3 linked regions of the Drosophila melanogaster genome follow. The protein of the gene in region 3 interacts with the protein of the main gene of each other region in a pairwise test. Each region holds a gene or a part of one and is shown on either strand. Other genes may lie near its edges.

The links.
Region 1: the proteins of Mal-A1 (region 3) and slam interact in a two-hybrid assay, tested with the Drosophila melanogaster proteins (one large-scale study listed by BioGRID).
Region 2: the proteins of Mal-A1 (region 3) and CG9014 interact in a two-hybrid assay, tested with the Drosophila melanogaster proteins (one large-scale study listed by BioGRID).

What each region holds. Positions count from the first base shown.
Region 1 is NT_033779.5:6,367,074-6,379,707, reverse strand, and holds slam (slow as molasses), read right to left. Parts: upstream 7,321-12,634; 5' UTR 7,127-7,320; intron 6,413-7,126; 5' UTR 6,132-6,412; coding exon 4,401-6,131; intron 4,335-4,400; coding exon 2,544-4,334; 3' UTR 2,424-2,543; downstream 1-2,423. Other genes in the region: DIP-epsilon (Dpr-interacting protein epsilon), read left to right, coding at 428-598, 681-868; Nepl4 (Neprilysin-like 4), read right to left, coding at 9,609-11,567.
Region 2 is NT_033779.5:13,719,073-13,728,276, forward strand, and holds CG9014 (uncharacterized protein), read right to left. Parts: upstream 4,571-9,204; 5' UTR 4,460-4,570; intron 4,413-4,459; exon of another isoform or gene 4,404-4,412; 5' UTR 4,366-4,403; coding exon 3,997-4,365; intron 3,939-3,996; coding exon 3,321-3,938; 3' UTR 3,089-3,320; downstream 1-3,088.
Region 3 is NT_033778.4:8,447,261-8,457,020, forward strand, and holds Mal-A1 (maltase A1), read right to left. Parts: upstream 4,645-9,760; 5' UTR 4,625-4,644; coding exon 3,295-4,624; intron 2,942-3,294; coding exon 2,746-2,941; intron 2,684-2,745; coding exon 2,476-2,683; 3' UTR 2,404-2,475; downstream 1-2,403. Other genes in the region: Cyp4e1 (cytochrome P450 4e1), read left to right, coding at 243-402, 673-782, 843-1,192, 1,267-1,636, 1,702-1,876, 1,931-2,361; Mal-A2 (maltase A2), read left to right, coding at 6,389-7,890, 7,952-8,080, 8,140-8,212; Mal-A3 (maltase A3), read right to left, coding at 8,683-8,749, 8,812-8,955, 9,021-9,760.

The sequences.
Region 1 (12,634 bases), on a different chromosome or scaffold from region 3:
AAGGGCGGGCAAAAGGGATTGCACTGAATTTACGATGGCTGATAAGTGAAGACAATGCGGCTGGGTAACCGAAAATATCTGTTTAGAAATCGAGCAAAGGAGTTTCGGCACTGATGGGGCGCACATTTTTGGGGCAGGACTGGCTTATAACTCACAGTTAATTTAAGTTGTTTATGGATTGTTTCCGATTGAGCAATCCACTTTTGTTCGGTACCGTTTTTTGGCGCAGACATCACGCTCTTACCCCTTATTTTAATTACTACACTGACAGAAAGTAGATAAAATAATGCAAAAAAAATGTATAAAAGAAAAAGGATTCATTTCTGACATGTAGCGTTACACTTCCTTTAAAGTTCCACTTTGCGATAGCTTCTATTTATTGAATTATTTCTACCACTCATGTACGCCAATATTTCTCTACGTGTAGTGTCGAGTCCGCCGACAACACAACCGCCGCCCACAACCACAACGCTGCGGCGGACGACAACAACCGCGGCGGAAATCGCACTGGACGGCTACATCAACACGCCCCTGAATGGCAATGGCATTGGCATTGTGGGCGAAGGACCCACAAATTCGGTGATTGCGTCCGGCAAATGTGAGTAGTGCCCAAAAAATGCATAGGATGTTGATGTTGGCAGAACAAATGAACACGTTGCACTTTTCATTATCAATTGCAGCGAGCATTAAATACCTATCGAATCTGAACGAGATCGACAAGTCGAAGCAGAAGCTGACGGGCAGCAGTCCCAAGGGATTCGATTGGTCCAAGGGCAAGAGCAGCGGGAGTCATGGCAACCTAATGGCGTCCAGTTGGCCCCTCATCTGCTGCATCCTCGCACTGCTGACGACACACTCGTGTGGTTGAGAACTATGTGCGATTCCATTTTAATAAAGTGCCATTACAAACAGTCGAAATGAAAGGTGTTCGAAGCCGATGCATACGATTAGCCATAACAACTGTGTAATTAATTAAGCGAATTGCAATTTGCAAACGTTAACGAAGTCAAGCTTTGGTTTTCCCCGAAACTCCCTATGCAGCCCATTAATATTTGATTACGTTTGGTGGCGAAAACCACAGCGTGTTTTTAGGCAAACAAAGTTACCAAATTAATCAACCTCGCATATTTGTTTACCATTCGTTCGGAAGCACTCTAAAATATTTTCTAAAAATTCGTTTGGTTTTAAAACCACTATACCATCGGTGAGGGTATGCGAAGAATGTTGTAAAAAGCATTTCGGCAGGGCCAAAGCAAACATGCGATGCAAACCAAAGCACATAAATCCTGGTTAGTTAGATATAAAATCAATTAATTTGCATAAATACAAGTGGGAAAAAATAGTATACCCTTCGAATGATGCCAAATTGTTAAAAAGAGAGCACTACTCACTCACCTCCAACTGTAAATAAGCGCGTATATGCATGGATAAAACCCCAAATGCAATTGTAAATTATGTACTCGTTATAGGCACTAGAAATGAATGTTCATTTGTACGAGAGTAGGCATCAAACCATTTCAAAACTAGATATTTAACGGGAAAGCGAAAGGCTTAAATACTCTGAAAAACAGGCACCTAAAATGCATTAATCAAAAACCATTAACCTAAATAAGTAACTAAGCAAATATGAATTACGAATATTCACGATTGAAGCGAAAACTGTTGATACATAATTTAGTTAGCTGATCAGTTAAGACGGGTTTACAGTTGAGAAATAATCCAAATAAAGCCAAATCCAAATATGTAAGTTCTAAACTACTCATACAGAAATACATATATATATATATATTTAAATACCTACATATATCATAGGCCTTAGTTTGTGTTTCTTAACGATAAGAGTGATAATGTATATTTATTAACTTGCTCCCCGAGCGGAACAAACTGGCACTGCGAAAGAAACAAATAAAATATCTATGTATTTGGGATTGCTTCTTAAAACTTAAGCGACTTTTATTTCAGTAATCTGTGGTTCTTGATATTGACCAGTGGTACTTGTGCAAAAATATAACTATTATTTTTTATTTGAAAGTCAAAAGAATGTCGACGGGACTTTTATTTTATGTTGAACAAGTAACCATTTATTGCATTAATAGTTAGTACTTTTCTCTGATACCATGTTTGCGCAGCACTTTTGCACGTGAAATTGTTATTGAACCGAACCCAGCAACTCCTTTTGGCCCCAAACGGATTCCCTTGGCCACTGGATGTGCACTAACATGGTATCCTTGGCCAGGAATGTCTGAAGTTGATGCAACAGGAGCATTTGCTTGATGAGAGCAAGAAAAAGAAACCATGTGCTTGCAGGAAACGTGATGCTTGCCAGACTCCTACGTGTCTGCAGGATAGCAAGGAGCTATGCCCTCCAGAACCCCTGATTTTGTTGGACTCTGCATGCCCAAGGAAATACACTGAATGGCTTTAACTTTTCTCTTTAAAGTTTATTATCTAAAATCTTTGTAACATTATATGTTAATGTCTAGGAACTAATTGTTTATAAAATCTTAAAATAAAGTCAGATCCCGATGAGGTAGCACCATCGCTCAGACCTCCACGGCCCTCCGGTCCATCAGGGTGTCGAGAATCTTGTCCATGTGCTCGCTGCAGTTGGCCAGGCACACATCCGCATACTCGCTGAGGAAGTACATGAAGCTCTCGAGCTGCTCCATCGAGCAGCCGCGGAAGCCATCGTCGCGTCCAATGTTGTCAATGGCCCGGATGATGGAGCGCAGCTTGTGGACATATTGCGGCGTGTTGCGGCAGTGCTCCAGCGAAGAGTCGGCCAGATTCGCGGGCTTGGCGTAGCCACGAATGCGCTGCTCCACACTGCGAAGTTTGGACTGCTGCTGCTTGAGGGTCTGCATCATTTGCGGCACGGACATGGCGGGTGTGGCGGCAGAGGGAGGAGCCTTGGCAAACAGCTCGTCCAGGGGAACCGCCTCGTAGTCCAGGGAGAAGAGATCAGGCGAAAAGGACAGCCTACCACTGTTGTTGCCGAAGCTATCGGACTCGAACTCCGTCTGATCCAGGTCGCTGGTCTTGATCGCCTGGTTGGCACTGATGCTGCTGTTGGGCCAGGAGTACTTGCTGCGACCCTCCAGGCCATTGCTGGCACCTGTCTGCAGACCCACCAGTATGCTGTAGCTGCTCTCGATGGAATACTTCTGGGTGGTGGGCCAGAACTCAGGCACGCTGCTGAACTCAATGTGGTCAACGCCGAAGCGCAACTCCGACTGCTCTCCGCTGAGGAAGGCAAACAGCCGCTCGATCTTCTCGCTGGACATCAGTTTTCCGCTGAAGGGCACTGCGAGATCTCCGCTGGCGAACCAATAGTGAGAGCAGCCCTTCACACTGGGTGGACGCTCGGGCAGCGACTGTCGGACGGAGTCGGAACTGGGAGCTCCGCGAATGAACTTGTGTCCGTCGATTCCGAAGGCCAGGTCACGAGTCTCCCAGCTTTTCTGGGTGAAGATTTCGTACAGCAGTCGCAGGCGCTCCGGGCTGTTCTTGAAGATTTCCAGGGAGACTGTGAAGTCCCCAGAGGTGATCCAGAACATTGAGTGCGCCTTGCCGGTCGGACTCTCATCCTGGGAGTTATCAATTTCAACAGTCGGGGCATTGGCGAAGAACTCCCGCTCACTGCACGGTGTGGAGGGTGAGCTGGAGGTGGCGTCCAGATCGAGCGGATGATCCTCCCGGATCACTTGCATGGCCAGGGAACTGCGACGAGGGCGCTCCTGGATGAGAATCGGACTGAACAGTTGTTGTTGCGCCGGACTGGAAGCATGGCGTCCCTTAACTGGCGTGGAAAAACCGGATGGCTTCGATTCCGTGGCTCCAAGCGAAGATCGGCGTATCGGACTGTTGTCCATCGGATCGTTCGAGCATGTCTCAAAGCCCTGATCCACGAAACTGTCCCGCATGGCCTGTACCAGGGATTGCCTTGGTGTCTGACTAGGAGACTGATCGCTGTCTGCATTCGGCGAGGGAGATGACATCACGGTGAGGGTGTATGCCGACTTGATCTTCCGGGGCGAGTTCAAGTGGCGCATCAGTGACTTATCCAACTCAATGAAACTTGGCTCGGGCATTGGAAGTGGGTTACAGATAGCACCGGACTTCTTCTTGGCCGCTCCTGATAGCGGAGGCTTGTAATCTGAATCGGAGTCCGTTGAGGTTATTGCAGTGGCCTCGACAATGGAGTTCTCCTTTTTCCATGTAAGAGTTCGGCGCATTTTCTTCTTGCGTGGCGGACGCTGGGGCTTGGCAAAATCAAATTCACCTGTCTGCAAGTCATCCTTGGGCGTCTCTGGCTGGGATTCGTCGCTGGTTATCTGTGATAGAAAATTAAGAACAATGAGTCAACATTCATGAATCCACTTATTAAAGATATCACTTACCTTGGGGAGTGTAGACAACCCGGATTCACTTTCCTCAGCCTCGGATTGCTTGCAGCTGGATGCACTGGAGGTAACTTGACTTAGACTGGGTCGTGGGGCTGGCACTGGCGGCGCCTGGCGCTTAATGCGTCGCGGAGTGACTTGAACGATGGGATCCTGAGCTGTATCCATCTCCTTCTTTTCCTCGACTTGTGTCTCCTTCTTGGACTCGTTATCTAGCTCTAATTTTGCGATGGCCTCCTCCAGAAGCCGCTCGACGGCGGACTTTTGGCTCACATCCTCCAGAGTAGCGGTGCTCGGCTCAAGTAGCGGTTGCTCCAGAAGATTACCCTCCTCGGTGGCTATCTCAATGGTCTGCTGACCGTCAGACACACTCGTAATGTCGAACTGGACACCGTTCTCCGAGCTGAGCCAGCTGTAGAACAGGGTTTCGAGGTGTTCGTTCTGAAAAAACATTTGGCTATCCGCACCGGTGCGCTCCTGTCGAGTGCGTCGGATTTTCTTTGGTGGCGCATAGGCCTCCGTTGGCATCATGGTGCGAATCGCGGCGAGGTTTCGCTTCTGGGATGGCTCTCGGGCATGTTCATCGCTCTGACGATCCAGGCATCGGCGGGGTCGTGGCTGTGGAGCTCTGCGCTCTGGACTTGGCTTGAGGATCACAGTCAGGGTGCTCACATGCAGCTGGGAGGTGCATGTCTCCGTTTTGCTCTCAGTCGTCTTGGGGGGAGAGACACCACCTGGTCGCGGTGGCGATCCCGGCTCCAGGATACATTTCGCTTCCAACTCCTGGGCGAGATGCTTAACACTGGCTTGTCGTTCAGCCACCACCTCCCCTCGTGCCACCTGTTTGTTTACCTTCTCCTTGAGATCTGCGGCATGTGCAGTGAACTTGGGGTGCTTGGCTGCCATGTCACCGATGAACTTGTTGAACAGCAGGGCTTTGTCCTTCACGCTCAACTCGCGGAAAACTTCCTCGGCCACCAGGCAGGGTCCTTGAACTGGGGACTCTAATGGCGACACCAGGCGGTTCTGTGCCTTAACCTCCGGCGACATCTCATTTTGCAGCTGAACATACTGTGGTTCCTCTGTACGTCGCATCACCTGGCTGATCTTGGAGTTAAACAGCTGGGCCATCTCCTTGACCTTCATGGGCAGCGACGCGGATACCTTTCTGGAAGCCTGATATGCAGAGCGTGGCGTCTCCATCTCCGGCAGCTGTTCGTATTTCTGCTTGAGCTCGCTGATCTTTAGGTGGCCACTACCCACTTTTGGCTTGGGCGGCGTGACCGGATCCGACTGGAGGGCCAACTTGGCAATTGTGCTGGCCACTTTACCCGTGTTACCCGCTGCCTTGGTGGTACCCAGTGTCTTTGTTGGCGTCACAGGTACCTCTTCGTCGAAGTACTTCATCAGATTCTCGATGCTGGACAAGTCCAGGTCGGTAACCTGCACTCGGCGCGGTGATGCAAACGAGTTTTGGTACTCCAGGGCGGTCAGGAAGCGATCATCATCCAGCGAGGAAATCTCGAAGAGTTCCTCCCTGGTCATCGTAGCTCGGAGCAGGCCACAGGCGGTGCTGGCATCTCCGTGGCGGCTGGAGCGACGACGTTCCTCGATCTCCGCGTTCAGCTGCAGTAGCTCGCTGAGATCATCACTGTTCATGGCTGCCGTGTCCACTACCATCTGGTTGTGCTTGGACTGGTTGTTCGGCGTGGAATTGCTTAGGACCATTTTGGTATTAGTTTGCTGTCTTGTTGTTGACGTTAGACGTTTCAGTTTGTAACTGTGGCTTTCTGGCATTTTGCTAATAGCTTATATACAATGATCAGGTAAAATATGGATTGGGTGCAGATTTTATTGCCCACCCACTGCCTCAGATTTTCCTTAATCCAACTAGCAGCGATCAGGTAAGATTAACAGCCGCAGCTGTCGGATCGATGGATTTTCCTCGCGCTAACCGATATTTAATTATTTTCGCGAACCTTTCCGCTATAAATATATATCCAGGTGACCTGAAACAAAGAAAACAGGTAGGTAATATTAGGGCTGTGCAATAGATGTAAAATGTAAGGTTCTGGAAAGAAGGGATAACCGAGGATTCACTCGAAAGACAGCTGACGGAAAGTCCTTAAAATTTAAATTCCAATTATTGCAGTAACTCAGCGAAATCAACTCCCAGCATCATCATTATACTGCAACCGAACGAATTTTCCGAGAAAAATGCGAATGTTAACAAGACCCAGGCGAATTGCAGCCACAATAAAAATCACACACTGAAAATTCTTCATCTGACTATTGCTGAAATTTGGAGCGAAAACGAACCGAATTCAGGACCCCAGGGATAAGCAGAACTTTGCTTGCAGTTTGCCACAAAGTGACTTTCACACCGACAGAGCCATAAAATGAAATCAGGGGCTGAGATTTGCGGATGCTCAGGTGGCAGAGCTGGAGCTGATGAGTTACAGAGCTACAATGATAAGTTCCATAATGGGATACATCTTTTAACTGCCTGATATTTAACGATTTTATCTTTAATTTTTGGTTTTAATGCGCTTTTTTACTTTTAGCAAAACGGAGTGCCTATTTTTTTATCACAAAGCTGAAGTTGTTTACATGGGAAGGGTATACTTTCCAAATATTCCAAATTTTCAAGACAAAAGCGTTCTCTAACCCTTTTTTGGGCTTTCTAAAACAGGCCGGCTATTTATATAAATTAGTTAACTTACTTTGTTAAGGATTTCCTTGTTGAACTATGATCTACTTTAGGCAACACAGTATTTAACACGCACAACTTCATAAACAAATTACAAATTAATTTTGTAAACAAAAGACCGCGAAAAAGCGTGGTTATTTGCGCCAAATAACATAGTACATTTACATCGATCTAAGGGCTCATTTGCCGGCTTTACGGAATATCACAGCTGATAATAAAGCCAATCACCACGAATTAAGAATCAGCTGATTGAATCAGCATCAAAGCTCAGTGCTTTTTAAACCGTAAACTAATCTAGACTTTAAATATCATCATGGGCTCAAGAAAATGATTAGAATGTCAATAACTTATATTCTAGGCAGACCAGTGAAGATATGAGAATTCGATGGCTATTAACGGCCAAAACGGCTTACAACTCAATGATACGATAAATTCAAACGGATTGCTCCCGTGGCCTGAATTCTATCAGACGTGCCTTTATTGGTATCTGAATATATTGCTATTTAAGCCAAAAGAGGCACACCAAAATCATTCAGATGGACAGTAGTTGGTCAGTTGGCAAATACCCCAAATGACAAACAAAGCAATCCCCGAAATACCATTCGACGGTGAAAAACATTTACAAACATTGTGGTCGCCAACAGCAGCGGCAAAAATTTAGTGGGTGCTTTATGATAAACTCATGTGGCTGGCGTTCCATATCCAACTGGAATGGACGGGGACGCAGTGGTTCCACTTGCTAAGTAGCCACCGCTTCTGTCGGCGACACCGGAACGCGAATATTTGGTTTCAGATTTTGGGCACTCAATGCAGGGCCATGCAATTTTGAAAATCTGAGCGGCGGCATGTACCCCGCTTTATCAGTGCGGGTTAATTAGACACTACCAGTTCTGTAATGTTGGCAATTATTTCATTGCCGCAAAATCCGTTTACTCGCATAACATGCCCACAATCGGTCTGAATGACGATGCGCGACTTGTAATTTCATCAGCCCTATCAGTCCGTCCGTCCGTCTGTCAGTCTGTCTGTCTGTCTGTCTTCCAGTGCGCCACCTTCGCTGGCAAATCAATCAATTCCGCACAGACCCACATACATACATACATACTTACTCCGCCGAGCGAGCGCACGTGACATGGAACCCCGAGTGGCGGGCAAGACCGCCGGAATCCGGGGGTCAAGGAACGAACCTCAGCCGAGCCGAGTGGAGCACCGCCGTGGCGATCAGAAGCAGCGAGTTTGTTGCTGGCTTCCGACTAACACCACACCATTCGCAATTCGCTGCTCCGATTGCGTCACTCGGCTTTCCGCGTTCCGCTGGCCAAGCGGTTTATTTTAAAACTAATTATAAGCCAGCCCAAATATAATGCACAGCCGCTTTGAATTACATGAATGAATGAAATTCAGCACTGATAAGCCGTTCGACGGAAAGAGGAACTGCTGGCCATATCGCAATAGCCCACACTCAGCATAATGTAGCCGCGTTGGATGAGCTCTGGAATTCAGACTGCTAAAGATGTGTTTATCCTTTACATTTTGCTGACTCACAAGAAACTAGAAAATAATCTGAAACATACCAAATTGGAACCGCAGAATATTGATTTAGATGACTGAGCCCCACACCCCATTTCACATGAGTAGCTCGAGTGTCTCGAGGCATACGTTCTTTATCGCAGAATCAATTCAAGTTTCCCGTTTCTAGTCCATTTGTGGGGCAAAGACAAACGTACGGTCGCCCATTCATCGGAAACAACCACGATTTGGGGCTGACCGCTGTTTGACACGCGGCTCACGCGCTATCATCCCGGCAGGTTGTTAATGGCCCATTAATGCGGTTGCCAGGCGAAACCGACCGCTTGCCACGCGCCTTCAAGACCCACGCGGCGTATGAGCGATTTGCGCGACGACCTTCAACAAGTTGCACAGTGCAACCACCGACTTGGGGCCGGGATTTGGAATCTAAGTCGGATTCTGGATGGTCGTCGCCCTCTGGGCTGCCGTCTGCTCCGCGCAGGATGGGTGTTAATTAGCAAATAAATAAAAGCACGCCGGGTAACACATACGCACCGTGGGCAAGCAAGGAAAAGCACACGTGAGCTCTTCGGCAGAGGAAATCGGCAAAAGTTCAAGGTGCACAAACAGAGTCGAAACATTTTGTACTTTTAAAAAGGTTCTCGCTCACACTGTTAAATATTTCGACTGAAGGAAGCATCCCATTTTCTTTATTTCCTCTGCGTAGGTGTGAGTACCTACCCCCCTATTTTTTCAGTGCCTGACAGCGAACATCCTGGAAGGGCATCTACTGCTCACCGATGTCTTGTCTATCACGTTGCACACGTAATTGAAAATTAACTCAGTCCGTGTCGGAAAATCCGCCCGACAGATGCGAACCGCATACGCAATTGCTAAGCATAGAAGTTTATTCACAATACTTGGGTTCCTAATTAAAGCTATACACCGACTAGCAGTGGGAGTCACCGACCGTCTCTGGGCATCCCTCACCAGAAGGGACACTGGTCCGCGCTGGTCATTCCGGAGCCAACATGGCACCGGAACACCTCTGCGAACTGCGGCACCTGGCCGAGGGCGTAGTTCAGCCGCTGGCTGCCGGAGTCATGGTACTGGTCGCCCTCGTCGCCGCAGAAGAAGTGGGCGAACTGGAGGAAGTACAGACGCCCGTTGCCCGACCGAGTGAGCCAGTCGCCACCGTAGGTTTGCATGGCCAGCCGGGATCCGCTGACGTCGGAGGTGCGCTCGTTTAGCATAACAGCGCTGCTGTTCAGGCATCCAACCGCTCCGTTGTAGAGCTCCACTTCGCCCAACTGGTCGCTAAAGTTACGCAGATTACCCTGCGCATCGTAGTCCACCAGATCGGTGTCGAAGGCGTGCATGATCTCGTGGCCCAGGGTGTTGGCCAGATCACCGTAGAGCAGCGCTGGCCAGAAGTTGGCATCGAAGAAGGGACGCTTTACGTAGGAGTACGGCACGAAGATGATGTTGCCCAGGCAGTAGAAGTACGGCGTGGCATCGATGTTGTCGGGAAACTCGGGCGTATGCATATTGAAGCTGTACCAGATGTCCCGCTCCTCCTGGTCCGAGCTGCTTTCCAAATCGGCGACGAGCGTGTAGTAGTAGAGCAGGCTGTTCAGGTGATTCTCGTAGAAGTCCCTGCCCACGCTCCACCGCCGGTCGCTGTCCCAATAGAATTGCTCCGTCACATTGGGCGGTAGGTTGCCCACATTGATGCGCATCTGGTGCACCTTTGCCTGCAGCGATTTCACCAGATCCTGACTTAGATTGAAGGCGTTGTGCTGGACCCGCAGCTCCAGCTGACTCTGCAGCTGCTGGAAGACGCTGTGGATGACCAGCTCATCCGCGTGGCGGCGCCGGGAGTAGAAACTTCTCTCGTAGACGTAGTTCATCGGCAGGTAAACAGAGCGGCGCATGTGACGAATACAGTTCCTTCCCCGCGACCGCTGTCCGGACTCCCAAGTGGCCAGCGGGTTATGTGGCAGCTCAAGCAGGTGGCTGAGAAATCTTGCCAGGCTGTACCGATTGAGCAGCAGAGTATCTACCGTATTGAGGTACTCCACAAGCCCCTCGATCGCGTCCAAGTCGTCCACCTGGAAGACATGATTCCCCGGCACCGATCTGCCCAGCTGTGTCCTCAGCGCCTCGTCCCAATGCAGACCCGGCACCTCCGTCCGAATCTGATCCAGACTGTAATTCCGGAAGGTATCGTCCGCCGAATGGGGCTTAGCCAGTCGCACCAAGTTCTGCTCCAAACTTCTGAACTGCTCCTGTAGCTGGTGGAGCGGTGGCCAGGAGGAGCCATCCTGACTCAGCGCATCATAGATGTCTTGCGTGAGACTCAGGTTTAGGTGGCGATTGTGCGGCAGCAGGAAGATCATGTGATGGGTGGCGTTGTACCAACGTACCTCTACTTGGACGTAGTGACCGTGGTAGCCGTAGCGCCCCAGAGCTGCCAGCAGGTGCATCCAGTGTGTGGAGTTTAAGGAGGCGAGCAGATCCCGGTCCAGTAGCTCGATGTATCGCCTCAGATCCGGCTTCTCCAGCGCGATGCATGACTGGTAATGGGCCAACACCTTGGCGAACATGGGGTATCCATATTCCGGGGCGCTGGGATTCCTCAGCAGTTGTAGGAACAAATCCTCGTACTGGCGGTTAATTTGCGATTCGCTGATCATCGTGGCGGTTGTGTGGCTTCCATGCTTCGCCCGCCATTTTCCGCAGGCGTAGGCATAGAAATCCTCGCAGGGATTTTTTTCGCTGTCCACGTAGGACATCAGCGTATCGATGTGCTGCTGATTGATCGTGGAATTGCACTCTCCGAGGTACGGACAACTCTGTTCCGGATCATTTGCCTTGACCGGCACACTCGAACCGCAGGTGGCACTGCCCAGCAGAAGGAGGGCAGTCCACAGATTTTGCACCATTGCTTCTTGGATTTACTATCGGGCAAAGGAATAGCTGATCTTTCCGCACGTTTATTTCACTTCGGCGAGATTCATAAGCTGCACCTGTACTGCGGCACTTTAAAAAGTTCTTTTCTCAGGTGCTTAGATACGATCATTTCAAAGTAAAGCTGCTGATTGTATTTTAACCCGACGAGTTTGGCGATTCCGATTCCGAATCCGATTTATCGATGCTTCAGGACGGGTGTTGCGCGTTTGCCGCTTGCTCAAATTCAACTAAAATCTCGTTTCACGCGGTTTCGATTTTATGTACATATATTCCGTATGTCGTATGCCGTATTCGCATTTGTGCTCTCTCATCGCCGCTACACCAAATATTATTACCCACACTACCCCACTTGCGGGGTTTCTTCCGACGACTGTGCTTGTAGAATTCTTGCAGCTCGGCTCTTTTTGCTTGGTTAGCTTATCAGCGATTTAAATACGTATTTTCTTTTCGGCATTTGAGTAGAGGGCTTATCTACAATGTCTACGACAAGACAACAAAAAAAAAAAAATCTACAAAGTTCAAATGAAGTATACTAATTCATTTTGTAAACTTAATTTCATAGTCGCGTTTTTGACATTAGCTAAGCTAATTTCAATGGGGGTTACTTATATGCTTATCACATTAATAATATATGGTTTAAGCTGAAAATTTCTATATTCTATAAATGCTATATTCTTATCGATCACAAGGAAATAGCTAGGAAAGAGGCGGCAAATTTTTCGCGAACAAAAAATTGTTATCTTTTCATAAGCTGCCGGGCAAATTTTATGTACATACATATCAAGGAACTTATTACGTTTCGGATTTTTCAGATGGGCACTTGATTCGGTAAGTAACAGTTTGTCGTAAGAAAACGAAAACGTTGTATAAATGAAATCAATTAGGTTTAAACCCTTAACCAGTTCTACCGCTTCGGTACAGGAAATCAACATTTACCTTTATTTCCGTTCCGGTTCAGTTACAGTTACAGTGAACCGGTTAACCTTCGGCTACAGATTCCGGTTCTAAATGTTTACCGTGCCAAAATGGATTTTCCACC
Region 2 (9,204 bases), on a different chromosome or scaffold from region 3:
CACAGCCAAGTTCTTAGACTTATTATTATTATTACTGGCATGGGGAATGAAAAGACGTACCTAAATGATTAAAATAAGATATTCAGGTACGAAAAAAAAAAGCCCATGTTCAATTGTATATGTAACTAACAAATCTTACACCTTTCCACCCAAGAAACTCTTCAACTCGAATAAAAATATTCTTTTTCGCCGTTAATCAAATAAATGAGTACTTAATAAATATCATTACATTTTTATTACATTCTCGCCGCAAAGAAAATAAAATTGATGTTGGTCCATGGAAAGATACATAAATTTAATAAATCGTTTAGCAGTTTTTGGACAGTTCAGGTGATATATACAAGTGGATCTAGACTGGTTGGGTATTCCGTTTCTTTAGAAGGAATAAACCTCGTTATATATTTCTATTTATATTCTTGACATTTAAAAACATTTAAAGCTGTTCTTAATAAAAACATATACTTAAGAAAAGTTCAGAAAAGTCATTTACACTAGTTTTTCGTACACACAATGGTTGCTAATCCCGACCAACTCCCTGTGAATCGATCATGCGGCGCTATTGAAACCTTTGCCAATCTCCGCTAATCAAAGCTACCCTATATTGCCTCCCACAAGGACAAATCAATTCGTGCAGGCAACAGCGTCCTGGGAAAGAAAAATCCCACCAAATGGCGTTTCCATTGCTATTTTCTGGGCTCCAACTGGCGAGTTATGGCCGCTATTTCCGTTCGGTTTTCACAACTCAACGCGCCGACTTGTTCGCTTTTCCTTTTGCACCTCTAGGTGGTCCAAAGTCCAAGGACTGGGCCAAATCGGTTAGCACAGCTTCCAGCGGATTTCAATTTTATCGCCGCCAATTTACTGCCGCCGTACTGTGTTTTGCGTTTTGCCGCTGTTTTTGTGTTGGGCTGGCCCATTCACATTTTTAGCCTTGGCAAAGAAGGCCGTCGCTGTTGCACATTTTTCTCGCCACATTTTCCTTTGTGCTGCCCTCGGTGATTTACCTTTGGATGATTAGTACTGTGCTATCGAGCTTTACTACCACTGATATGGCAGCGATTTACAACATTCGGCCTATACAAATTTCAGTTCTTCGAGGGGTCTGAAATACAGATATAAAATATTGAGAGTCCTCTAACGAAACATGTTATAAACATATACATTTGCAATAGAGTTAATAGTAATATTTATCTTAAGTAATGCTGATGCCGTAAATAGTAATCATACTACAAATTAAGGGACTTTTCAAGATTTAAGAGTTCTTCCCATATATTTACTTCGATAATGAGGTCTCAAGCATATGCTAAAAATAATACGTTGCAACTACAAAAGCTCTTATATAAAGGAAAAGTTAGTGCTGAAGATGTGTAGAAATGGTGACATCTATTGCTCTCCATGCTTCTGATAAGCGTTTACAGTGGAATCAAAGCTAAAGGAGCAGATTCGCTTTAAAAAGTATTGATTCGTACAAAATATGTCGAAATATTTATGGTAATTAAATAAACAAAGCAAAAGATATGTATATATAATTCGAAAAGCGAGCTATGCTTTACAAATAAATTAACATGCCTAATTGCTGAACGTATTTTTACCTGTGGATGATTGACCCAAAATCTTTACAAAATATTTACAACATTTTAGTATCATAGAAATGAATAAAAAACCGCTTTTTAAAAATATTTATTTTATTTACTAGCTTGGGATGCCCAAATTTGATAATGAACAATTTGGGCCCACTGTAGCTACCAGCCGAGTGCAGCAAATGCATAAATTAAACTGAGTTGAGCTTGAAGTTTGGCCAACTACAAGTGCGTATGCGTATGCGAGTGTGTGTGTGTGTCGGCGCGGGTGTTGGTGTTAGTGTGCGAGCGTGCATGTGGACCATTATCGATACCGAAGGACATTATCGCCATACATGCACCAGCAGACAAAAAGGGGCAAGTTTGGCGGGGGACGAGGGCATGGGCATGGGCATGCATAAAACATGTTTTGGTCGGTTGGCTGCAAATTGAATCAATAATATCCAATCATGGGTTAACAATGCGAATTGATTTCTAGCAGCCATGCAGGAGAACCACCTTCCATTTCAGACTCGGAGCACCATCACCATCGCCACTGGATTTCAGGAGCGGGGAGGAACCAGGAAGAGCGACGACTGCACATATGCAAACATGACAAGATAAGGCCACAACATCAGCTTTCACTGAGCCTTTAGCTTACTTCCTCTGGCGAAGGAGGACCCATGTAAATATTAATTAAGTTTTGGCTTTTGTTGCATTAGGCTTCGGTTTTTGCAGCAAGCCCTGAGGCAGCCAGTTAAAGGGCTCCCAGGTGCCGGCATCTATCATTGTATTAGCTGCAGCATTCGGTGGTTAGTTCGTTAGTTGTCCTTTGTACTGCGTCGTCGTCTTGGCTTAATCAAGTTAGCCGTACATGGCCTTTGTGTGTACCGGACCATTTAATTAGTTCAAAGAGTCGTGTTTGATTTGACACTAATTCGGTGTATACTTCATTCAATGGACAATATTTGCCCAAATGTGAGCTCATCGCATCGAAGTAAGCTGCTTGCAGTCCATTAATTTTCATTTGATCAGAGATCTCGTTTTCAATTGCAGGCTAAAATCGTAATGGTCCCGAAAATTTATCTCAGCTGGGAAATTAAATTTTGTACAATTTGTAAAACTTTTCCAAATGGTGTCGCCAACTGCCGCGAACCGAGCACAGCCAAACTTTTACCATTTCCATTATAAGTTTTACTTGATGCACCCACCGCAAGCCCAACCAACCGCCCACCCACAGAAGGAGCAACCTCAATCCCAGCTTATGCGTTTATTTAATTTCGCTCCAACATTACGCATACGCCCGAGTGTTCACTGAGCTTCTATAATTGCCGCGTAATTGCCGAGAAGAATATCTGTCAGCTACAACGACAACTTTAAACTGTGAGTGTTGCTGCACTGAACCAATCGATGAGGGAAGTTTAACAAAACCTTAAAAATTTCAAAATTACATACGTTTCATAAAAACTCTTCGATAGTATTGGGAGCCCTCAGATTATTCATAAGGTCCGACATTAAAAAATAACACGACCATTTGTTTGTTTTCTATTTACGTAACTCGAATTGATAAAACATATTTATATTTTTCATTTTGACGACTTTTGAAGTACGATCGTGTAATTTAAGACAGTGAAGCAACATGACCATCATTCCAAAACAAAGGACGTGGAAAACGGGCAGCCAGTTGCGCTTTTGTGTTGTGTTACCAAAATGAATTTAGATGTGGAGGATACAAGCAGGATGTGGTGACCCATCATTGGCTTAAATAATCTCTTCGCCAAATATTACCTCATTCACACCGTCGACGAAGATCATGACCAGTCCGAGGATGGGGCGCAGATTCTCCGGCATGTGGGTGTTTTCGCCGCCCAGAACAACCACGCACGGTTTGCCAATGACCAGACCGGGCACCAATCGGGTGACATACCGACTCATGAGATGTTGGTTCTCGCGGCGATCGTCCAACGTCATCAGACCTTCGGGCCAGCGATCCTCGTGGCAACGTTCAACCAGCATATTGAGCATATGCATCGGACAGCCGCTTTCACGCAAAACGTCGCGCACCATCAGGTGCATGGGATTGTCCGGCGTGGAGATCAGACTGCCCCACGTATGGATGTTGGCCAGAGGGAGTCCATGGCCCCACTGCATCAGTGAGAAGCGGTCCAGTTGTTCGCCAATGTTGCGCAGCATGGGATTGGTCGATCGCAGTGCTGCGATATAGTACTGGAACAGCTCCATCTCTCGGCGCTGGCTGGAGCTCTGCTCCTCCATATCGGATTGCTTCTGCTTCAGATCGGAAACCTCCTTCGCCAGTTTCTCCACCAGCTCGCGCAGTTCGAACACACAGTTGTGGCGCGACATCTCGTCCTTGGGTACCTTTAGCGGGAATATTATAGCTATCTTAAGCAGTTCAAGTTATTCCCAGAATGTTCACCTTCATTCCGCACCCCTTGCTGCACTCGACAACCACCTTGGGATTATGCTCGCAGGCGGCGACATGGGTCCGGAACTCCTCGAGGGCCAGCATTTGGGCACAACCGCTTTGCGAGAAGGTGCACTTGATCTTTAGGCGGGATAGCATGTTGCGCATTAGGCGCGAAACGGGCACCAGATGTGAGGTCAGTAGCCCGGAGCGGTCCACCGGGCAAATCTGTTTCTGGATCATCCACTTGTCGATGCAGGCGCGACAGAAGGCGTGCTCGCATTCCGATGACTGGACCGGCTCCTCCAGGACATCTGTGCAAATTGGACAGATGAGCTCCTCGTCAACGTGGCCCACAATGCAGTTTAGATCAAAGCCCATGACGAAATGGTTTGATTTCTATACCGAAGTTTATGTCGCTGGAGAATCTGAGATGTTATTTTTTTTTGGCATGGAGCCACTCTCATCCACTTACCACTGAGTTCGATATGTACTTATACCTATATCCGAAACTCGATTTTTACAATATTTCGATCAAAAAGTTAGTTTTTACGTCGGCGCTGAGTTGTGTCCGAGCTGGCATCTGATTAAAAGCCAACTATGTGTATAGTTATGCATAGTTATATAAATAGTATATATAGTTTATTTTTGTAAATAAAAATCCTTTTCTTAAGCTAAGAAATACTAGGCCTTTCGATCATCTGTTATGCAAACAGCTCTCATTGAGCCTTCTACCATTTAGGACACTTCAATTTCAATTCAAGCGCAACTGAAACCAGCCAAACAACCAACAGAACACTGGGAGTCATCCATCCAAGTGGGCCAAGAGCAAGTGGGGTGGGGGCGAATGGGTCTGAGAAAACGTTTTCTTGAGGCACTTGCATATAGTGCGGTCGTAAAACCCTTTGCATATTTATAGTCCCAACTGCTGCGGAAGTTATGCAAATTGGAAAACTTATGGTACGACAACCCGGAATAATGCCAAACGTCCAGCCAACCTTCGGCGACCACGTTTTAACTTAGCCTGCACAGAGAAGCGATGCGAAGCGAAGCGAGGAGTTGAATTTTATTTATAAAGTGAAATTTTAACAAATTAACAGCAAATGCTGGGACATGGGCAAACAAATAAACTTTCCATCTTCAGCTCCACAATGGCCGAATTTCGAACAAACACTCATCAGACGACACACAGGCATGATTGTGACAACATATTGCCATGTCAAAATATTTACACTATATCAACTGCTCTATGCAAACTCGAATGTATATACATACGTGTGTATAATAGAATGGGCATTGTGTGACTGGAAATTCGGTTTTTAATTTCACTTGGAAGCGTCATTCGCTTGGATATTAAATTTCATGTTTTGCCTAAGAATGACATTTGCTTTTGTGTGCCTTTTTGTGCATTTTGTTTGTGACAACTTTACTGCATCGAATCCTTTTCGTTGGATTGCAATTTCAGTCTAGTGCTACCAAATGCTTATCTCCGAATGCAACTGTCAGTCTGACATTTTAGTTTACTTTAAATTCCTGCTCAAGCCTTTTCAGTTTGCCATAATATTCAAGACTCATTCTTTCATTTCGTTTTTATCTTGAAAAACAGTAATCGAAATGCTTGAATTGATGAGTTGAATAAATCACAATTGATATGCGATTCCCCACTCCGGCTGGTGTGAAATATTCTTTAATAAATCGCATTTTGTGCAAAATAATTAAGTCCGTGTGGGGTGTGGTGTTCGTTTTATCAATCCATTGGCTTTGCGACGTTCAATAGCAATATTTCACATTTCTGAGCTGATGGAGCGCATTAGAAAATAATCAACAATTTTCATTTGACTTGGCTCCGATAAAACCCATCATCCAGCAAACACAAAACGAACCACTCAAGCAGGAAAATTTAATAAGTTTGTACGTAAGCATATACACAGCTCGCCACAAAAATGTTTTTCCAACTGATCTGACCGCATTTGTGAAAATCAGCATTGATGATTCGAAGGCTCCTAGAGGATGCACACACTCTGATGAAAGATTTGGATAATAGCTTATGATGTTTTATATATTATAGAAGTGCCTTTTTTTTTGTTAATAAAATATATATGTACATTTGAGTGCTGTTTTTTTTAAGTGCAAGAAGATCATGTTTGGTTTTTCCGAGTGTATTTATGTACGAAACCCAACTAATAAGGTTAGCAACGTGTAAACAGTCATTACGTGAGTGGCTCTGTGTTAGCATGTAACGAGCCACAAATGCTTGCCACACAATGTTTATTTGCATTTATATTTGCTGTTCTTGCGCCGTTGTCATTTCATTGCAACATCAGTACGTGCCTCATTGTCCCCAAGTCCTTAGCATCCTGATGCCACATTCCCTCTACTCTGCAGATAGATAATCATTAATGACGGACTCGAAGTAGCATTCTGCTCACATGTTTCCCGCTTCGCCTTAAGTTCCAAAATTGTTGATTGGCAGTGTAATTATGTTCTAAACATATTTACCTTATTCTTGAAGTATAATTTATTGGATGAGTTAGGTTATATGAATTGTAAGTAGGTAAATCAATTATACTAATCACTAAAGATGGGGCGTTGAGAAGAGGTGAAGCTGCAAAGCGGCTTAAATATACGTTATCCACTGAAGAATTTTGATAAATTTTCACCTCTACACTAGCAGTCATGTTAACCCTGACTCCCTGACTTCTTGCCCTGGACATTAGGATCCATTTCTGGAGCAACAAGCAAATTGCCATCCGTGTTTCGACCGCCGAAAGATACAAAAAATTACCATGAATTACCGTAATTCAGCTCGTGGTGCCCCAAAGCCATGTCCATTACATGGAAATGGGACATGTCACAGGACATCGTCGCCGGCAGGACAACCCAAGTGCGTTGCTTCAAATCTCCTGGTCCTTCTATGGTCAAGCGGTCACGTTCGCATCGTATGACCGGAACGTGCAATTTTTCCTGCTGGACGAAGGAGGTGGCGGATTTTCCGGGGGAGGAGGAAGCGCAATAAGCACAAGTTTTATGCAATAAAATTAGCCCACACTCAGCACGCGCAGGACACGCAGGATGCTTCAGTGGCTGATAAGATAATTTTATTTGGATGTTATTGCATAAAGTCATGTGAGGAGCGGAAATGAGTGGAACTAAAGTAAAGCGACTACGTGCACCGGAATTCCGGATGAGATGGGGTAGAAACTTGGCTGGGCAAATTAATAACGTAGTTTGAAAATGGTTGGGTGAAAGCAAAGGGAAAAGTGAATAAATAAGTTTCTTTTTAATTTAACTAAACAGAGTTTTGTACGGCATGTGTTGAAATTTATTGTAATAGTTATAGTAATGCAGAAATGTAGATAAATATCTAAATATAATCTATATCTCCCCCACTGGACTTTCGTTTCTTTCGCACTCTTACCTAAATCTCATTGCCATCATCATTATTCCAGGCCCAAGGAATTAGGGCACAAATTAGGCAAAAAAGCCGAAAACATCGTGGACTTGGCTCTGACTTCATTGCTCGCTCAAGCGTTACTAAATCGCTTATACAAGCCTGCCAATGGCAATGGCCTTTTCACTTGTGAAGAACTTCATAGAGCCCAACTTATAAACATTATATTTACAATTAAATGTAAATTAAAGAGCTAGAATAAAGGACATTGCTTATTACTAAAGAAGTCCTTTAAGGCTTGCTTGCTACCTTAATAGCATTAATGCCTTCTCGGTCTTGACATTTTTAATATAATTATTCACATATTCGTTTGGAAATATACTTTTAAATCATTTAAAAAATGTATGTAAATTTTTGAACTGTTAATAATATAAAAATATAATAATTAGGCCATTAAAATATCCTATGAAAATATTTATAAATAATTTTACAATGATTTTATACACAAAAGAGCATCTAAGCCACAATCATAATGCTTCAAAATGTTGGCTGCGAACGTTTTGCCGGAATTTAACAACTGACCGCACACACAAAAATATTTTTTTGCCACACCCGAGGCGACAACAAAAATGCGGAACGATGGAGCCCGTGGAGCACCAACCACAACATGGGGCACGTTGGCGGAGAGAGGAAACGATGGCGAAGGCGAGGTAAAGGCCTCGAGTGCCGCAAGAGCACTTAATACTAATTAGCTTTGCGCCTACGCCGTGACCTACGACCTGGGCGCTGGAACGGCATTTCCGGAAACGGAAACGAGTCTGGGGAGCAGATAGAGGGCATTGGCAATCTGTGGCGCGCTTAAGTGGCCGCCGCACGCAGGAACACGGTAATATTTGGAGGCTTTTGGGGCGTGGAGGCGGGTTAACAGCTTGAGGGCGTCATTTTTATGAGCTAATTAAGTTGTTAGACTTGATGAAAAACTCATTTCGTCGCAGGTCCATATCTAATTTGCATTAATTACGACCTGGCGACAACAAAATGCAAGAAATGCGAACCAAATTATTGGGGTTATTTTTACGGCACAAATCAAACCAGTTTTAGCCAGGAAACATTCCTACTTGAAAACTAACCATATAATTGGCTGGCAATTTGCGTTTATTGGCAAGTGCAGAAATAAATAATGACAATTGAAACGAGCAACTTTCTGACCGGATTCCTACTTCGGACTTTTGCGTGCAACACTTGCAACAATTCGAGTCACTTTTGCCCGCACTGCGAAGCTCAAATTTGCACATAGTTTATAATTTTCTTAACAACTTTGCTGCATTCAGCCAATTGAAATGAGAGTACACAACTTTTTAATGGCCAACGGCTCGAGGAACTTGGCCAACACACTTTCCAGTTGGCCTGGCCAAAAAACTTTTCGAATTATTGGCGAATGGCTAAGCGCTTTCTGTGGGTGAACTGTCCTGGAATGTCTGCGACATTATTTCGCAGCCCTTTTCAGTCAAGGTCACTGCAATCAGACTTCCGAATTAATCGGAAAAGTTTTCGGCTCAACCAAAAAACTTGAAGCCCAATAAATATTAAGTGGTCAAAGTCTTAAAAGTTTCATGAAACACGAAATATACAACAAAACATTCTATGCAGCTAAGTGCAATCATGTTGTTTTAAGCCTTTATTTATATTTTAACTACCACATTTAAAATGTCCATGAAATCAGTGGTATTTATTATTTTCGAAACCAGTGCCACAATCCATTTAATGGACTTCTAAACCTCAATGGCCCACTCTATTAAAACACAGCCATTCCAAATCAAGCCCGATTT
Region 3 (9,760 bases):
AGAAATGTTCATCAAGAAACTTAGTCGCAGCATATAGAAGGTCATGCTGAGTGCCCATATATTAGTTTAAAATTTGGGAGATAGTCATAGGCTGCTTCTTATGTGTGGATGTATATCCAAGCGCGAGAGACTGAGAACTGTCTGCCGCAACCGGTTGAAGTACTGACGCAGAGAGTCTTGAGGTTTCTACTCAAATCCGATTTACTCGCTGCACCGATCGGTTGTCTGTGGTCGCATTCAAAATGTGGATCGTACTGTGCGCTTTTCTTGCCCTTCCACTGTTCTTGGTGACCTATTTCGAGCTTGGACTACTGCGGCGAAAGCGAATGCTGAACAAATTCCAAGGCCCAAGTATGCTGCCTTTGGTGGGCAATGCTCATCAGATGGGAAACACTCCCACAGGTAGGTGCTCCATCTAGACAATCTCAATGTGTGGGATCAAAGTCCCCTCTAGATAACATCGCTCGATAGGTGTGACTGATCACATAACAGTTGTGTACGAATGATAACACTGAGACTAAATATACTAAAGGTCACTGCAGTACCGATCAATGGGATTAACTTAACAAATCTTCGTCAGGGAATTCATCCGTCGTTTTTTGCTGTATTAAAGACTATGGCTTCTATCTAATTGTAGAGCAAGTAATGATATGTTTTAACTTTGCTCTCCAGAGATTTTGAACCGGTTTTTTGGCTGGTGGCATGAGTACGGCAAGGATAACTTTCGTTATTGGATAGGTTACTACTCCAATATTATGGTCACTAATCCCAAATACATGGAGGTGAGTGTGACATGTTAATAACGCTAAGGCGAGGATGGTAACAATGCAGCTTTTGCGCAGTTTATACTTAGCAGTCAAACTCTGATATCCAAGTCCGATGTATATGATCTTACTCACCCATGGCTGGGATTGGGCCTCCTCACCAGTACTGGCAGCAAATGGCACAAACACCGGAAGATGATAACCCCAGCCTTCCACTTCAACATCCTGCAGGACTTTCACGAGGTCATGAACGAGAACTCCACCAAGTTCATAGATCAGCTGAAGAAGGTGGCAGACGGAGGCAACATCTTCGATTTCCAGGAAGAGGCACATTATTTGACTCTGGACGTCATTTGCGATACAGCTATGGGTGTGTCCATCAATGCCATGGAAAACCGAAGTTCCTCCGTTGTGCAAGCCTTTAAAGAGTATGTATTATGGGATATTCCATAATATATACAAATCTTCCTAAAGATTTACATAAATTTTTTTTCACTTGTAGTATTACCTACACCATTAAGATGAGAGCTTTCAGTCCGTGGAAGCGCAACAAATACCTCTTTCACTTTGCTCCTGAATATCCAGAATATAGTAAAACACTGAAAACCCTGCAGGACTTTACCAATGAGATAATAGCGAAGAGAATCGAAGTCCGAAAATCAGGGCTTGAAGTCGGCATTAAGGCTGACGAGTTCTCCCGCAAGAAAATGGCATTTTTGGACACTCTGCTGTCATCCAAAGTGGATGGACGTCCTCTGACTTCCCAAGAGCTTTACGAGGAAGTTTCCACCTTTATGTTTGAAGGGCATGACACTACTACATCTGGTGTAGGTTTTGCAGTCTACTTACTTTCTCGACATCCAGATGAACAGGTAACCGATTTGAAGAACTAGTTTTGACGAAGCGAATTTAATAATATATTACTTTCTGTTTGCAGGAAAAATTATTTAACGAGCAGTGCGATGTGATGGGCGCTTCTGGACTTGGTCGAGATGCCACGTTTCAGGAGATATCCACAATGAAACATTTGGATTTGTTTATAAAGGAGGCGCAACGTCTTTATCCGAGTGTCCCTTTCATTGGTCGCTTTACTGAGAAGGACTACGTAATTGGTGAATCTTCGAAACAAATTTAGGCGTTATCAGTAATCAGGATTATGTTTTTAGATGGTGACATTGTGCCGAAGGGGACTACCTTGAACTTGGGCCTTCTTATGTTGGGATACAATGACCGTGTTTTTAAGGATCCTCACAAATTCCAGCCCGAACGCTTCGACCGTGAGAAACCAGGGCCGTTTGAGTACGTGCCCTTTAGTGCTGGTCCCCGAAATTGCATTGGTCAGAAGTTTGCACTGCTGGAGATCAAGACTGTGGTGTCCAAAATCATTCGAAATTTCGAGGTGCTGCCAGCTCTGGATGAGCTCGTTTCCAAGGATGGCTATATAAGCACAACTCTAGGTCTTCAGCCGGCAGAGAAGAAGAGCCGTGATGCTCACAACCATAAGTATGATCCAATTTTGTCGGCATCCATGACTCTGAAGTCCGAAAATGGTCTACATCTACGCATGAAGCAGAGGCTTGTATGCGATAGTACATGAATAAACACTTGCATGCTTATGGGCTACGACTTTGCAAACTTTGATAAGTACATGTATAATTCACATTTTATTTATCAGCGCTACTTTATTGTCACTTATTTGAATAAAATTAGCTTAGACAGCCACTAGGACGGTGCCCACATAGGGATTGGCAACGAACTCCGTAGATTTGATAACATCGCCATCGATGTACTGGGAGCTCAAGGACGTGGTAATGACCTCCGCCTGGGTGCCCAGTTCGTAATACTTGGTCAGGTCCAAGGTCTTGGAGGTGCTACCCAGGTTGAGAACGATTACATAGAGATCGCTTCCGGTCTTTTGTCTATTCGAGAGACAAACGTTTAGTAATCGAAGCTTAAAGATCTTAAAGATTGATAGACTTGCCGTGAATAGATGATCACATCGTCGTCGATTGCCTGAATGTTGAGTTCTCCCTGGCGAAAAGATGGCTCCTTGCGCACGCGCACCAGTTTCTTGAAGATCTGCAGGTGGGAACGTGGAGCTCGCAGCTGCTGCAGGGCGTTGTTGGTTTTGTAGTCATCAGCCACTGGTAACCAGGTGTGATCGGCACTGGTGAAGCCTGAAAGTGGTATATATAAATGGAATATCAATAAGAACCGCAATGTCAGTGCTACATAAGTAAAACTTAGATTAGTACAATAGAAGTATCACAAATGTTTTTCTTATCAGAACATATAAAGCTTCTTATCACACTGCAACGTCAATATATAAAATGTATTTGATTAGCTATTATATTCAAACGGCTATCATTCGTCATGTCTTTTAAAAATGTTAGCATTTGTATTCCAATAGAATGTCAGATGGCCCTTCAGTGAGGTGAGATTTCGGAGTCTTTGTAACGCACTTAACCAAATGTTTTAGTTCAGTGTAGATTGTTCATACTAAGCAGAGTAAATATAGATAAGTTCATACCTGCTTTGGAGGAGGCATCCCACTGGTAGGGAGATCGGGCAGGATCCCTGGATCGGGCGTAGTAGTTGTCGGGATCGGAGTTGCACGCATTCGGATCAACGGTGTCCTCCCAGCTGATCCAGACGTCGGTCATGCCCAGCTCCTCTCCATTGTAGGTGACCGCGTGGCCGGGCAGAGTCTGCAGCAGGATGTTGATAAGGTCGGTGCGCTGGACACCAAATCGGGAGGCTACTCGCTTGTTGTCGTGGTTGCCCAGCACCCAATTGGCATAAACGCCCTCGGGCATGGCGTCCATCCACTTCTTAATATGTTCTACGTACTCTCCGGCCTTAGAGGCGTTGTTGATGCTCGTAAGGAAGTCAAAGTTGAAGGGAATGTGGGAGCCATTCCTGACTCCATTTCCATAGTAAGTCATGATGTTTTCAAAGCTGGTGTACGCCTCCGTCATCAGCAGCCTCTTATCTCCGCCGTTCTCCACATGAAACTCATCCACCAACTCACGCCACTGGTACACCATGTCAATTGTTTCCGGCATGTCCTGTGTATAGATGTGCTGCGTGTAGCAGTGGTCATCGGGGTCGGGACAGTTCACGGAGTCGTTGGTCAGAGGCTCGTCCGGATACTGGTTGTAGCGATCGAGATCCACCTCAAACAAGTAGGGAACTGCATCTATACGGAATCCGGATACTCCCTTTCCCAGCCAGAAGCGAATAACGTTCTTCATCTCGTTAACCACGGCCGGATTGCGATAGTTGAGGTCGGCCTGCTGGATGGCGAACTGGTGGAGGTAGTACTGCTGACGCACCTCGTTCCACTCCCAGGCGCTGTAGCGAAACTCAGAGTTCCAGTTGCTCGGCGGCTCCCGCTCACCGGTCTCGTTGTTGATCTTGCCATCGTGCCAGATGTAGAAGTCTTTGTAGACGGGGTCACTGTCCACAGACTTGGTGAACCATTCGTTTTCGGTACTTGAGTGGTTTGGTACGAAGTCCAGGATGATTTTAATGCCCACCTCCTTGGCCTTGGCGATCATTCGCTCAAAGTCCTCCATGGTTCCATATTCGGGATGGATCTGGTAGAAGTCCGATATGTCGTAACCAAAGTCGACCATGGGCGACTTGAATATGGGCGACAGCCATGTGCCCGTGAAGCCGATGTCTTTCAGGTACTGCAGCTTTTCAGTGACCCCGTTCAGGTCGCCAATGCCGTCTCCGTCGGAATCCCGGAAGGAGCGCGGGTAGATCTGGTAGTAGTTTCCACTCTCCCACCACTCGGTGGCTCCCACGAAGCCAACGATGGCCAGTAATAGACACGCAGCTGATTGCGGGCGCATTTTGATCGATTTTGTTCGGGCTGGAGAGCTGACAGTGCCTTTTATACTAGTCGATAAGGTGGCTCCAATCGAGATCTGGCCATTTTGAGTGGCCATTTGAATTGCTGTGCAAACAGCTCCCATGAGTTCTCAGGGTGCTCGAGTCGAACCGAAACTGTCATTGTTTTCGTACTCCCAGCGAAGCTTTACGTAAAGCGATTAGCCCACTCCCGAATGTCTTCTGATTGCTGGAAAAATACCGATTTTTGCGACAAATATCATCCGGAATTATTTGTATACCCGTTACCGGTAAGTGTAAGCAGGTATACAGGTTCGGCGAAAATAAGGTATAATATCGGAATTATGGGAAATAAGAGAGCCAAACAGTTGAGAATACGGCTTTTGCTTCTAGAAAAGCAAACACATCTAGAGATAGTTCCAAAAGATTGCCACACGCTATACATTTAAACTAAATATGAAGTGAATTAAATTTTACATTCTGCTGCTGGGTTCCACTCTGAGACCGAAGGTTTTCTGTTTGCAATTTGAGTAATGGGTAACATATAGCGCAGCACCTGTCTTTTCTGTTCCTCCTTGTTTTTGTTATGGTAGGCCTTTCAAGTGGACATTAGTCACCTGATAATAGCGCAGACAAATCCTACTCCTTCAACTACAAGCAAACAAGCAACAAGCTGGAAAACCATGATTAATTAACACTTAACAATGCTGTGGAAATGTTTAAAAGATAACCTTGTGGAAGTTTTGGGGGCATTTTAATCGCGTGACAATACATAATCATCGTTGCAATACGGCCTAAACTGTTGTCAGTATCAGCGTAGGTCGACATTCATATGATAAGCGTTTTCGAGGAAAATATTTCCTGCGTTTATCTAACTCTATAAAAATGTCATATTTTACTCGCAGTAACTTGTACAGTACAGTAACTTGTAAAGTCCACTTAAGATTGTCCGTCCGCCTGTCTGTCAATTACAATAAATGCATCCTTCATCAGGTTGCGTTAGTGTAGTAAACTACCTTAAAAGGTAACTCAAAATATACATGTATTTGTTAGCTATATTGATTGTATGAAACCACAGATGGTTTAGATAGTACCCGTACCTCAAAAAGCTTATCATGAAAAATACAAAAACATCCTTTGAATTGTGGCTAGAGTGGTATCAAGAATTCTACATGCAATTTATGATTTCATCTTTTGTGAACTCTGGAGCATATTGAGGTGGAATTGTAAAGGTAAAGCCTAAATGGTGACCTAATTAGTATTATAAATCTAAACATTTTTTGTTGTCGAGAAAAAAGCATATGGTATATCAAAAGTATTTTGGCCGTGCACGCATTATTGCCCATTTATTATCTGTCTTGCTCAAATACACTGAAATATGTTTGTAGTAATTTTTATAAATTGTAAAATATATTATATTCTATAAATTCTATATTATATTTGTAATTAAACCCGTTACCCTACGAATATAAATACTAAAAGATATTGATGCAGCTTGTGATTCTCAGGCCAGTCATCAATTTATAACTTTAACAAACGTACTTTATTGCACTTTTACGACATTTCGCGGTCTAATGGAATGCCCAACAAAAAAGAGAGCATTCGAGAGCGGGAAAGACCAGTCCACTGTTATTTAATCTAGCAAATATGCGATAAAACTGATAGATTACCAGTTGGCCGGTGCAATTGTGCCTTATCGACTGCTCAATCGCTACATGGCAATTGGTATTAGCAAATTGAGTTTGGCCCACTCAAACGCTATCGAAATGCCAAAGTGGGCACATCTCGGGCTAGCAGCTCTCCTTCTAATTTCCACCACCCAGGAGGGTACTGCAGATATCGATTGGTGGGAGAACGCCTCGCTGTACCAGATATATCCGCGCTCCTTCCAGGACAGCGATGGCGATGGCATCGGGGACCTGAAAGGCATTACTTCGAGATTGGGCTACCTCAAGGAAATAGGCATCACGGCCACCTGGCTGTCGCCCATTTTTACCTCGCCCATGTCGGATTTCGGCTACGACATCTCTAACTTTTATGACATCGATCCGATTTTCGGCACTCTCGAGGATTTCGATGACCTTATAGTGGAGGCCAAGTCGCTGGGCGTTAAGATCATTCTCGACTTTGTACCCAACCACTCGAGTGACGAGAACGTGTGGTTTGAAAAGTCCGTGAATCGCGAAGATGGCTACGACGACTTCTACGTGTGGGACGATGGAAAACTGAATGAGGAAACTGGTGCAAGAGATCCTCCATCTAATTGGGTCAGTGTGTTCAGCGGACCCATGTGGACGTGGAACGAGAAGCGCCAGCAGTACTTCCTGCACCAGTTTCAGGTGAAGCAGCCGGATCTAAACTTTACCAATCCAATGGTCAGGGAGCACATGCTGGATGTCTTGAAGTTTTGGCTGGACCGCGGAGTTGATGGATTTCGTATCGATGCAGTTCCACACATCTACGAGCACCGCAATGCAGACGGATCCTATCCGGATGAACCGGTTAGCGGTTGGGGCAGTGACCCCAACGCCTACGACTACCATGATCACATCTACACCAAGGACCAGCCGGCCACGGTGGATCTCATGTACGAATGGCGTGAGTTTTTGGACAACTATCGGGCGCAGAATGGAGGCGATTCACGGGTTCTCCTGGCCGAGGCCTATTCTTCCGTGGAGACACTAAGTGCTTACTTCGGAAACAGCACCCATCAGGGTACCCAGCTGCCCATGAACTTCCAGTTGATGTATCTCAGTGGATACTCCACCGCCAAGGATGTTGTGGGATCTATCGACTACTGGATGAATACCATGTGGAAGGAGCACCAGACGGCCAATTGGGTTGTTGGTAATCACGATACCAACCGAGTGGCCGATCGTATGGGAGCTCACAAAGTGGATCTACTAAATGTGATTGTAAACGCCCTGCCAGGTGCTTCGGTAACCTACTACGGCGAGGAAATTGGCATGTCCAACGTGGACGTGGAGTGCACCGGCGACTCTTGCGAGGATCGCGATGGGGAGCGCACGCCCATGCAGTGGACGGCTGGAAAGAATGCCGACTTCTCTGATGGGGAGTCCACCTGGCTGCCTCTAAGTCCCGAATATCAACGGTACAATGTGCAGACTGAACGCGGTGTTTCCAGATCTTCCCTGAACATCTTTAAGGGTCTTCAAGAACTTAAGAGCAGTTCCGCCTTTCTTGCGTTCAAAGAGGATGGAGGTTTCTCCTACGAGGCGGTGACGGAACAGGTTCTACAGATCATTCGGTACGTGAAGCAAATCCTCTTCTAATCCTCTTGCTGATCCTAATATCCTGATATCCTACAGCACAAACAAGATCAGCGAGGAGTATCGAATCCTGGTCAACATGGGCAACGGTATGGAAATCCTCGATGGGCTCGCCCCCAAAACCTACGAGTATGTGCTGGCCACTGCCTACTCCACACACTATTCGGGGTAGGTTTTCTCTACTTTCTTGATTTCTATACTTTTAACTAACTTAAAACGATTTACAGGCAAAAAGCAGATCTGTCACAGAGAATCATTCTCATGCCCTACGAAGCAGTCGTTCTACGCTGGTTGGCTTAACTTCTTGTACTTATTTTGTTGTATCAAGAATTACTTCTTTAGTTCGTGTTAATCAGTACGAATGCCACTGGGGTCCCTAATAAAGATAGGCCCTGTTTCGACATATGTTTTCCCAGAAATATATTAAACCGAACTTTGAATGCCAATTACCACATCTAGATTTTATAGACACCCACTTAAGATATAGGCATTTGGCCTGAGCTGTCGCTTGGTTATCGCTATGGATTAATCTGCGAATAAACGTGATCGATAGTAATCGTACGAATTTAGTTATTGCCTAAATGGCCAATAAATTAAATGGCTATTATTCAAAACTTCCAGTGGGTCTGTTTCTAATCAGTGCTTATACAAGTTGGCATGGGGCCATCGTATAGATAAGCACAGTTAGTTAAGTAATCCAACCCTATTAAAGAAGTTATGCGATCAAAATATTTTTGTGTTATTCTTTATTAAGGATCTAATATATTAGTTTAAACTGTGCTCAGCACAACTGCTTCCTTGGGCAACAGCAGCACGGAGTTGGCAAAGGTGAGGTCGCTAAAAGGATAAAATAGTTAGTGTTGTATGTTTAAAGATATTTTATGGTGTCTAGTGCTTACTTCTTGCGACGCACACTCTTATCATTCACCACCACATATTGCAGTTGCGTGGTTATGGAGGTGAAGACAGAGTCCAAGTTGATCGATTCCACATCATCGTTGATGTTGATGAGGGTGATGTACGACTTGTAGCCCGCCAAAGATCTGTTGACAAGGAAAACCGGTCAATATCCAGTCTTTGTGTAAGTTCTATGATTGTTCCAGCTTACCGCTTGAAGGCCAGCACATTTGGACCAATGGCTGTTACGGAGACATCACCCTGCTTCAAAGTAGGCTCATCACGCAGAGCCCGCAGCTGCTTGTAGACGTTCAGGTGGCTAAGGGCTATTCCACGCTCCTTCTTCACATTGACCAACTTGTAGTTGCTGGCCACAGGCAGCCAGGTTACCGAGGCGTTGGAGAACCCGGCGTTGACCTCGTCGCTCCACTGGAATGGAGTGCGCACTGGGTCGCGAGTGAGGCGCTCAAACTCCTGTTCGTTCGATTGGCAGGCTTGAGGGTCCACGGTGTCCTCCCAGCTGATCCAAACGTCGGTCATACCCATCTCCTCGCCCTGGTAGGTCACACTCACGCCGGGCAGGCCCAGTATGATCATGTTGCAGGCGTCGATGCGATCGGCGCCCAATCGGGAGCCAATGCGACTCTGGTCGTGGTTGCCGAACACCCAGTTAGCCACCTGACCTTCTGGCATGTTGTCCAGCCAGTTGTGGATCAGCTCCGAGTAATGGTAGGCATCGGAGCTGTAGCTGATCTTGGCCAGCAGCTCGAAATTGAAGGGGATCTGGGAGCCCAGGTGAGTGCCATTTCCATAGTACTGCATCAAAACTTCCAGAGGAGAGTAGGCCTCGGTGAGCAGGACGCGGTCGTCGCCACCCAGCTCGGCGTCTATTTCCTCGATCACATCGCGGAAAGCGTAAACCAGCTCCAGGGTCTCGGGTTGATCGGTGGT